Callithrix jacchus: one gene and its partner. The protein of the gene in region 1 interacts with the protein of each later gene in a biochemical or structural test. Links are inferred from orthologs where the notes say so. Each region holds a gene or a part of one and is shown on either strand. Other genes may lie near its edges.

Region 1 (3,806 bases):
TTCAGGGATAGAGACACCTCATCTGCCATTCTGTGGGCATTTTTCCCCCTTGCTGTGTTACTTCCTTGCGTGGAGCTTTCCAATTCTCTCTGTGGTTGGCTCTGTGCATGTTTTCCTCGTGTGGCTGTGGGTGCTCTGGCCAGGTAAAGAGATGACCCCTAGATGGAAATGCCAGCCCCTGCTTCATTTTAGTGTATTGCTGTTCCGTTTTTAGTAATCAGATTGTTGCTTCATCTGGTATATATTTTAGTGAGTGGAGCGCGGTAGGGATTCTGCCTGTTTACATTTTTTGATTTCCTATTTATCGGGTAATCTAGCTTCTTAGAATGCCATCTTTATTGATGTTAAAATTCCGCACCAGGGCTTCCACTCACATACTGAGTGTTCTGTATTTGGTTTGTCCTGGCGACTTTCCAGCCCTAGAGCCATCAGCGTTGCCATTTCCATTTGCAGATGAGTATCCTGAGGGTCTGAGATCTTGGGAATCTTGGCCAGGGCATTGAAGCAAGGGCACCAAGGTGCTCATGTCCAGACCCAAGCTGAGCAACACACAGCCTGGCTCTGGTGGGCGGGACTCCCGTGGCGCCACACCCATCTGTGGCCCTGTTGGTCTTCCGAGAATAGCAAATTTGTAAAATTAAATGGTACAGAGACACATTATTACCACAGAAATTCAGCCATTTGATGAGGTATTCTCTTTTTATTCAATTGTAGAGTTTAACATCCTTTAAATTTCTGGGGAGAAATGAAGATGGCAAAGGAAGATGTCCCTTTGACCCAGCACACAGCTACACATCCGTCATAGTTGGTGAGTCCTGCCCCTCCAATTCCTTCACCCAAAGATTACAGTGGCATGTTAATTACCAAACAGGATATTCGGATCTTCTGTGAAGTCCTGTCTTCCTTGGCTTTGTTTAAATACAAGCTATCCTTACAAAAGACACACGTATCTGCTCAGACACTAATTTTGAATTCATTGTTCACAAAGATAATAGCTGCCATGGTAAATGTCACTTTGTATCCATCGCTGGCTCATGTCATTTGGATAATGCTAGCATGGTGAGCAGATGCTCCTGTTTGAGAGGGAGGTTTTGACCAAGCCACATGCTGTCTGTGGTCTTGCACCCCTGAGCAAGTGGCCTTAGCCTCGTGTGCACCAACTGTTGCATCTGCCAACATTTTCCTGGATGTGGGAGTTACTTGCTTGTGTTTACTTATTGCCCCACAGCTCTTAAAATGCAGCTGAACGTGGAGCATAAAATTATCCTCATCAAAGTGAGAGCATGCCTGTGGTCCTAGCTACTTGGGAGGCTCAGGTGGGAGGATAGGAGTTTGAGACAAGTCTGGGAAACAGCAAGAATTCACCTCAAGCCAGGCACTGTGGCTCACACCTGAATCACTGGAGGTCAGGAGTTTTGAGACCACCTGGCCAGCAGGATGAAACCCTGTCTCTACCAAAAAATACAAAAATTAGCTGGGCATGGTGGCCTGTGCCTGTAGTGCCAGGTATTCTAGAGGCTGAGGCATTAGAATGACTTGAACTGGGAGGTGGAGGTTGCAGTGAACCGAGATCGCACCACTGCACTCCAGCCTGGGCAACAGAGTGCGACCCTGTATCAAAACAAGAAACCTCATCTCGGAAAAGAAAGAACTAGAAGACACAGGATACCCCAGAAGTTGAGGAGACTGTCTTTCCCTTTCCCCGGGGTGAGGGTGGGGGCTTAATTGGTTTATAAAGGGAACCACTGTGTTGAATGTCTGTCCCAGTGTTGGTGCCACAGCCTGAGAGGTTGGTTCCCTTTTCCTCTTTTCTCCTGGTCCCCTGCAGATGGAGAACTTTATTCGGGGACATCGTATAATTTTTTGGGAAGTGAACCCATCATCTCCCGAAATTCTTCCTCTAGTCCTCTGAGGACGGAATATGCAATCCCTTGGCTGAACGGTAAGGAGGAGCAGTGCACCTCAGCGGGAGGTGTGGTCTCCTCGTGAGCATGCACCCATTGATCTCTCCTTTTGCTGTCTCTGAGCCCTGAGGGCCCCTGAGCTTGTGTCAGCCCCTGTTTGCGGGGGTTGGGGGGGACATTTCCCGAATTGCTCAGCAATGGCCAGAGTCCCAGGGTGCCTTGTTTGCTGTTTTCTCTGCTAACAGTGTACTGTCTTAAGACGGCTCCCCGCTAACCCCCAAAAATGGATTTGGGAGACTCTCATAAAAGTGAGAATCTGATAGTAAATGGTAAACTCAGACTAATCGAATGGGGACATGGTGTAATTTCCAGAGTGATATTAAAGTGTGGCATGAACACTGGTGTGGGCCCTGCCTCCAGGCCAGCCTCTAGCACCCGGTTGGATGGGCTCTGGGTGCCTTGTTGCTGCCAGCAGCACGTGTCTGATTTCCATCTTAAATGTGCAGGAAGAAGCTGGTGGCTGTTCATGGGGTCTTTTCTTCTGTGTGCCAGCCTGCAGAGCCCTGGATTTTGAACCTGTTGACCTCAGGGCAGATCCCAAGACCCAAGATTCAGGGACAGCTGGCTATTCCTCAGGGTGGGGCAGGATCTGGTGGTTAGAGTTTGTTTATTTGAAGCATGTGTTATTTCAACCTGCAAATGCATACCTTATGTAGGTCTGTGATACTGATACCATCTGGTTCCCTGCCTTGTAATCAGAAGGCCCAGCCTCACTTCTTCAGGTGGACCTGGGTAGGATGTGCTCCCCAGAACCACTATTGAGGGCATCTCTCTGAGGCCAAGGAGGTGGGGGTAGGGCACCCTTTGGACTCTGTGCTATCATCATTCCTGGACCCTGGGATTTCTGCTTGGGTTATGGCATGTGCACACTCCAGATATCCTTGCAGGGAAGCCCTCAGGCCCCCGAAGGCAGTGCAGGCCAGCCTGGTGACCTTGTGGGTGCAGGCAGTGCCCCAGCTCTGTGTTCCGGGATAACGGCTGACCTCTCTCTGCAGAGCCTAACTTTGTGTTTGCTGACGTGATCCGAAAAAGCCCAGACAGCCCCAACGGCGGGGATGACAGGGTCTACTTCTTCTTCACAGAGGTGTCTGTGGAGTACGAGTTTGTGTTCAGGCTGCAGATCCCACGGATAGCAAGAGTGTGCAAGGTGAGTGCCAGGCAGTCTGGCTTTGCTTGGCCCCTGCCTTGGCAATAGTGTGCCTGGATGATGAGTGCTCTGATCTTTATCTGAAATGTCACTTTTCCTAGCACTTTATTCCCTTGGGCCTCAGATGCCCCTCTCAATAGGCCTTATTTCTGGGGGTTGTGGGGACTGGAGGAATGCTGGCCTCCTGTTCTCAGGAGGTTCTGTTTTTTGATGCAACCTCCTCAAGCCTCCCCAGTGTATAAAAAGCAAGACTTTGTGGAATATATTCACCAGAGTCTGTTGGAATTTCACCATTTGCCTCTTAATCTACCTAAGAGTGAAACATTAACTGACAGCTTAAGATTAAGAAGAGAGAACCAAGACTGCCAAAACACAAAGCTTTAGGTACATACTGGGGGAGGGAGGGTGCCTTTAAAGTGACACACTGAAGGCGCAGTGCTCAGCACAAGAGAACAGCCTGTGGGCTTGACTGTAGGAAATCTCAAGGCTGCTCAGTGGCGGTTTCTGGGAGGTGGATTGTCAGGCCTCAGAGGAGCCATGGGAAACCACGAGAGCCAGCTGCCGTGTCCCTGGCCAGGTGCTCAGCTCGGAGCAGGTAGCTGTTCATCCCTCGTGGAAATTGTTATATGGTTCCTGCGTGGCCCTTTCTCATATAGTGATGACCATCAGGACATCAGAGAAGCAGGGGTTCCTTT
Region 2 (4,287 bases), about 69 Mb from region 1:
AGTAGAGACGGGGTTTCACCATGTTGGCCAAGCTAGTCTTGAACTCCTGACCTCTTGATCTGCCCACCTCTGGATCACGAGGCATGAGCCACCAAAGTGCTTGTGTTACAGGCATGAGCCACCGCGCCCAGGCTACAGATACATTTTTGAGGTGACAGCCTCGTCTCAGTGGCCACTTCCTCTAGGGCTGGCTGGGCGGAGCTATTGGCAGAACTCTAGGGTCCCTGGCAGCGTCTCACCACACACCACCAATCATCCGAGCTGTTGGCATGCAATGAGGACCTTTACCCCCTTCCTTTTTCCTCCCCACAGCTGCAGGAGGGGGTTCTTCGGAGCGGATGCCACACTGCTTGGGCGAGTTCTTCCCACCCCCACACTATGTCTTGTTCCAGTTCCTATCCCTGATGTAGGCTGTTTTGGGGTTCTTATTAGGGGTCACATCCTGGTAAAAGAACATTAGGGAGTACCTTTGGACACCCCTGTTCAGCAGCCTCTTCTCCCCTTCTCTGGTTCCCTCTCTCCTCCATCAGCTAGGCCCCTATCACCTATGAGGGCCTCTCAGTCCCTGGGTCCTCTGCCTCAAATGCCCCTTTTTTCCTCAGGGACAGTGTTGGGACTTTTTAAAGGAAGAACTTTACTAGGAAAGTAGGAGGAAAACCAAAACCAAACCAAGAAAATGTCAAAACCTCTGCTGGTCCAGAGTCTGCGCTCGGCCTCTGGCTCTGCTCTGCTCCTCTGCCTTGCCTTTGCCTAGGAAGCTGCAGCCCTTCTTAAACCCTCTGCAACTCCCTTGCTCACCTGCTCCCTGGCTCCCCATGAGGGTGCCTGGGGGGAAGTGCTGCCACACACCTTTCCAGAGGTGCTGCAGTCGTGGCTGTTCCTCGCCTTGGCCTGTTCCTAAACCCACAGTTACTAGAAACCCCAGGATGATGAGTGACAGATGCAAACCAGGAGCCCCCAGTCTGATGGGGAGAATGGAGCCTCACCCTGGAGCTGGGGAGATCATCTGGATCAGTGCAGCTCCAGTTACACATCATAAGCCCCAGTGGACAAGGCAGCCGGGAGGAGGGTGGGGCAGAAAAGGGCAGATAACCAGGAGGACCAGTTTTGGGGCCCAGCATGGCCCACATGGGTCTAAGATGCATGGAGAAGCAGCACAGGCAGGACATGGGGACAGGCCCAGCCCCTACCCATGTGCTTTGGACCTCAGTGTCCCCTCTGTGGCCCCTCTGGCCCTGGCCCAGGGATTCCTTCTGCTTCATTGAGCCCATCTGTTTGAGACTTGCTCACATCTTCCTCTTTTGTGACTGGAAATCATAGGGCTAACTGCTTAGCGGTACAGTCACAGAGGTAACACAAAGCCTAGGTGTAAAGGGACAGAGAGGAGAGGGGCAAGGGAGGACGGTGGATGACAGGGAAGACGGGTGGGGGCAGAGCTGCTCGGGACCATGGCTGAGGCCATCACCTATGCGGATCTGAGGTTCGTGAAGGCTCCCCTGAAGAAGAGCAACTCCAGCCGGTTAGGACAGGGTAAGGGGGATGAGGGCTCCCCTTGATCCTGCATCCCCACTCCCTGCCCCACAGACCCCATTCCTGACTCCCACATCATTGGTCTCTATTCTCTTGTCTCCAGAACCAGGGGCTGATGAGGATGGGGAACTCACCTATGAGAATGTTCAAGTGCCCTCAGTCCCAGGGGTGCCCTTGAGCTTGGCTTCTTCTGGACTAGGGGACAAAGCAGGTCTGGAGATCCTGGGGGATGTATGTTTGTTGCAGGGGATGTGTTTGTTGAGGGGCTGTGTCTTGAGTTGGGGAGTCCACAATGTTGTTGTTGAGACAGGGTCTTGCTCTGTCACTCAGGCTGGAGTACAGTGGTGTGATCATGGCTCACTGCGGCCTCGATATCCTGGGCTCAATTGATCCTCTGCCCTAGCCTCCCAAAGTGTTGGGATTGCAGGTCCATAGTATTCTTGAGAGCTCAATACCCTGGGGGAAAGGAGGAGGCCGGTTGGTAGGAAAGAGAAGAATAGGAACAGGATAAATGGGAGCCAGGAGAGGAAGAAAGATTCCTTCAGCAAGGTGGAGACCCCAGGGCAGCCCTGGGGAGGGATGAGTTCTAATGGGAAATGGGGAGCCATGGGAGGGAAAAGAGGGAATGGGAGAGGTATGAGAGCAATGGGGGAGAGGGATTGGAGCTGAAAATAAGGGGCCACTGAGGAAACAATAAAGGGAGAACTAGGAGAGATGAGGGAGTCCCGGGACTGTGAAACCCAGGAGGGAGCCGAGAGAGCCCCGGGCAGACCAGGAACTCAGGAGAGTGACGGAGTGTCCCAGAGCAACTCTAGCGGGCTGGAGTTTCCCAGTGGCGAGGACGAAAAGCGGGTGCGCAGGAGGAAAAGGAGCAATACTCGAGGCGTCCTGTCTCACACTGGATGCTCCCCTCGACAGCGGTCAAGTCCGAGCAGCCAACAGCTTCCTGGAGTGCCGTGACGTCATTGGCGGTCGGGCGGATTCTCCCCTGTGAGTGTGTGTGCTGGGCGGCCTCGGGGACTATGGATGGCTCTGGGCCCCGCGGGGTGCAGCTCTTGCCGGGTTGAACCCTTCCAGGGCAGAACTGCGCCCCAGCAGAACCCCGCCCTGGCTGAACCCCTCCCTGGCTGCCTTGCGCCATTTACCTCCATCCCAGTGCGCCAGAATCCGACGTGCACCGCCGCCCCCTTGGATGGTCCCAATTCACCTACCTCCCCACCCTTCTCCTCTCTCCCTCTCTCCATCTGATATTTCCTTCCCCTTCTCCCAGGTAATGTCCCCGAATCCTTACCAGCTCTGATTCTGCAACACCTTCTCCCCTACATGCGAAACTCCCTGCTACCCAACAGAAACCACCATGCTTGCCCCCTCAGCTCTGCACCGCCCTCCTCTAGGGATGCCTTCCCCAGGAATCTCCCCTACGCACCCATCCACTAGTCTCTACTTTCTTTCCCGGGGCTGACTGCCCGCATCCATCCCACTGTCCCCCTAAGGCCGCACAGCCTGCCTGCCATACCTCCTGCTTGGCCTGCTCCTCACCTGCCTGCTGTTAGGAGTGGCTGCCATCTGCCTGGGAGTGCGCTGTGAGTAAGGCTGTCCCCACACCGTCCCCACTTCCCACTTACACCGAAGGACTTTCATCCCGACTCCCTCCCCAAAGCTGACCCACAAACCAAAGCTGACCCCCAAACCAGGGCTCATCATCACTACCACCACATGCTTAGCTTTAAGTTTGGTTTCCAGCCAGGTCTGTTGTCTTCCTGAATCGTCCTCACCTACTCCAGTACCTCCTTAAGTTTTAGGCAGTCAAATCTCGTATTTCAGCCTGTAATGTAAAAAGTTGCAAGAAGCAGAAAAAGGGCTGATGCTGCAGTCTCAGGGCACTAGGGCAGGGCTGGAGAAGACGTCCTCCAAATCTCTGTGGCCAAACAGATCTGCAGGTGTCTCAGCAGCTCCAGCAGATGAACAGGGTTCTGGAAGCCACTAACAGCAGCCTGAGGCAGCAGCTCCACCTTAAGATAACTCAGCTGGAACAGAGGGCAGAGGATCTGCAGGGGTCCAGGAGAGATCTGGTACAGAGTCAGGAAGCACTACAGGAAGAACAGAGGGCCCATCAGGAGGCCCAAGGGCAGCTCCAGGCCTGCCAGGCAGACAAAGAGAAGACGAAGGAGACCTTGCGAAGTGAGGAGGAGCAGAGGAGGGCCTTGGAGCAGAAGCTGAGCAACATGGAGAACAGACTGAAGCCCTTCTTCACATGCCACTCATCAGGTATCCGCTCTGGGGAGAGGAGAGATGGGAGGGATGGATTGGAGCGAGGAGATACTAGTGGCAGGGGTCTGTCTATCACAGTGGGCTGTGAGCTGTTCAGGAAAGGGACAGTGAACCAGAGTGGTGGCTGACATAAGCTGTCCAGCCTTGGCCAACAGAGAGAAGGACCAAGCTGCATACTGGATTTAGGGGGACCCACCCAGTTCCAAGGCATTCTGTGGGAGAGAGGAGGATGGCACCAGCAGTCCAAATCACAGTGTCCAAGGTTTCATTTGGCTGACATCAGTGACAAGGATCTGGGAACACTAGACTTGGCTGTTTGTACATCTTTCTAAAGACAGGGTCCTCAGCTTTAATTAATTTTCGTTATAGCTGAGATCCCCCCCAAAGGGTAAGACTTAATGACTGACATGGAATGCAACCTGGTGGTGGGACAAGGCAGTGAAGCTCTCAGCACTCACAGTAAGGTGGAGCCGGGAGTTGTGGTGT

The links.
Region 2: the proteins of SEMA4D (region 1) and CD72 form a complex in vitro, tested with the Homo sapiens proteins (2 studies listed by BioGRID and IntAct). The link is inferred for Callithrix jacchus from reciprocal best matches to the Homo sapiens genes SEMA4D and CD72.

Annotation. Positions count from the first base shown.
Region 1 is NC_133502.1:73,234,577-73,238,382, reverse strand, and holds part of SEMA4D (semaphorin-4D), read left to right. Parts: intron 1-714; coding exon 715-808; intron 809-1,828; coding exon 1,829-1,942; intron 1,943-2,959; coding exon 2,960-3,111; intron 3,112-3,806. UniProt on the Homo sapiens protein: Cell surface receptor for PLXNB1 and PLXNB2 that plays an important role in cell-cell signaling. Regulates GABAergic synapse development. Promotes the development of inhibitory synapses in a PLXNB1-dependent manner.
Region 2 is NC_133502.1:142,530,931-142,535,217, reverse strand, and holds the start of CD72 (B-cell differentiation antigen CD72), read left to right. Parts: upstream 1-1,338; 5' UTR 1,339-1,448; coding exon of another isoform or gene 1,449-1,530; 5' UTR 1,531-1,539; coding exon 1,540-1,741; intron 1,742-2,448; coding exon 2,449-2,520; intron 2,521-3,023; coding exon 3,024-3,113; intron 3,114-3,462; coding exon 3,463-3,798; intron 3,799-4,287. UniProt on the Homo sapiens protein: Co-receptor of B cell receptor (BCR) that plays both positive and negative roles on B-cell functions. Recognizes the Sm/ribonucleoprotein (RNP) self-antigen ligand, and coligation of CD72 and BCR inhibits BCR signaling.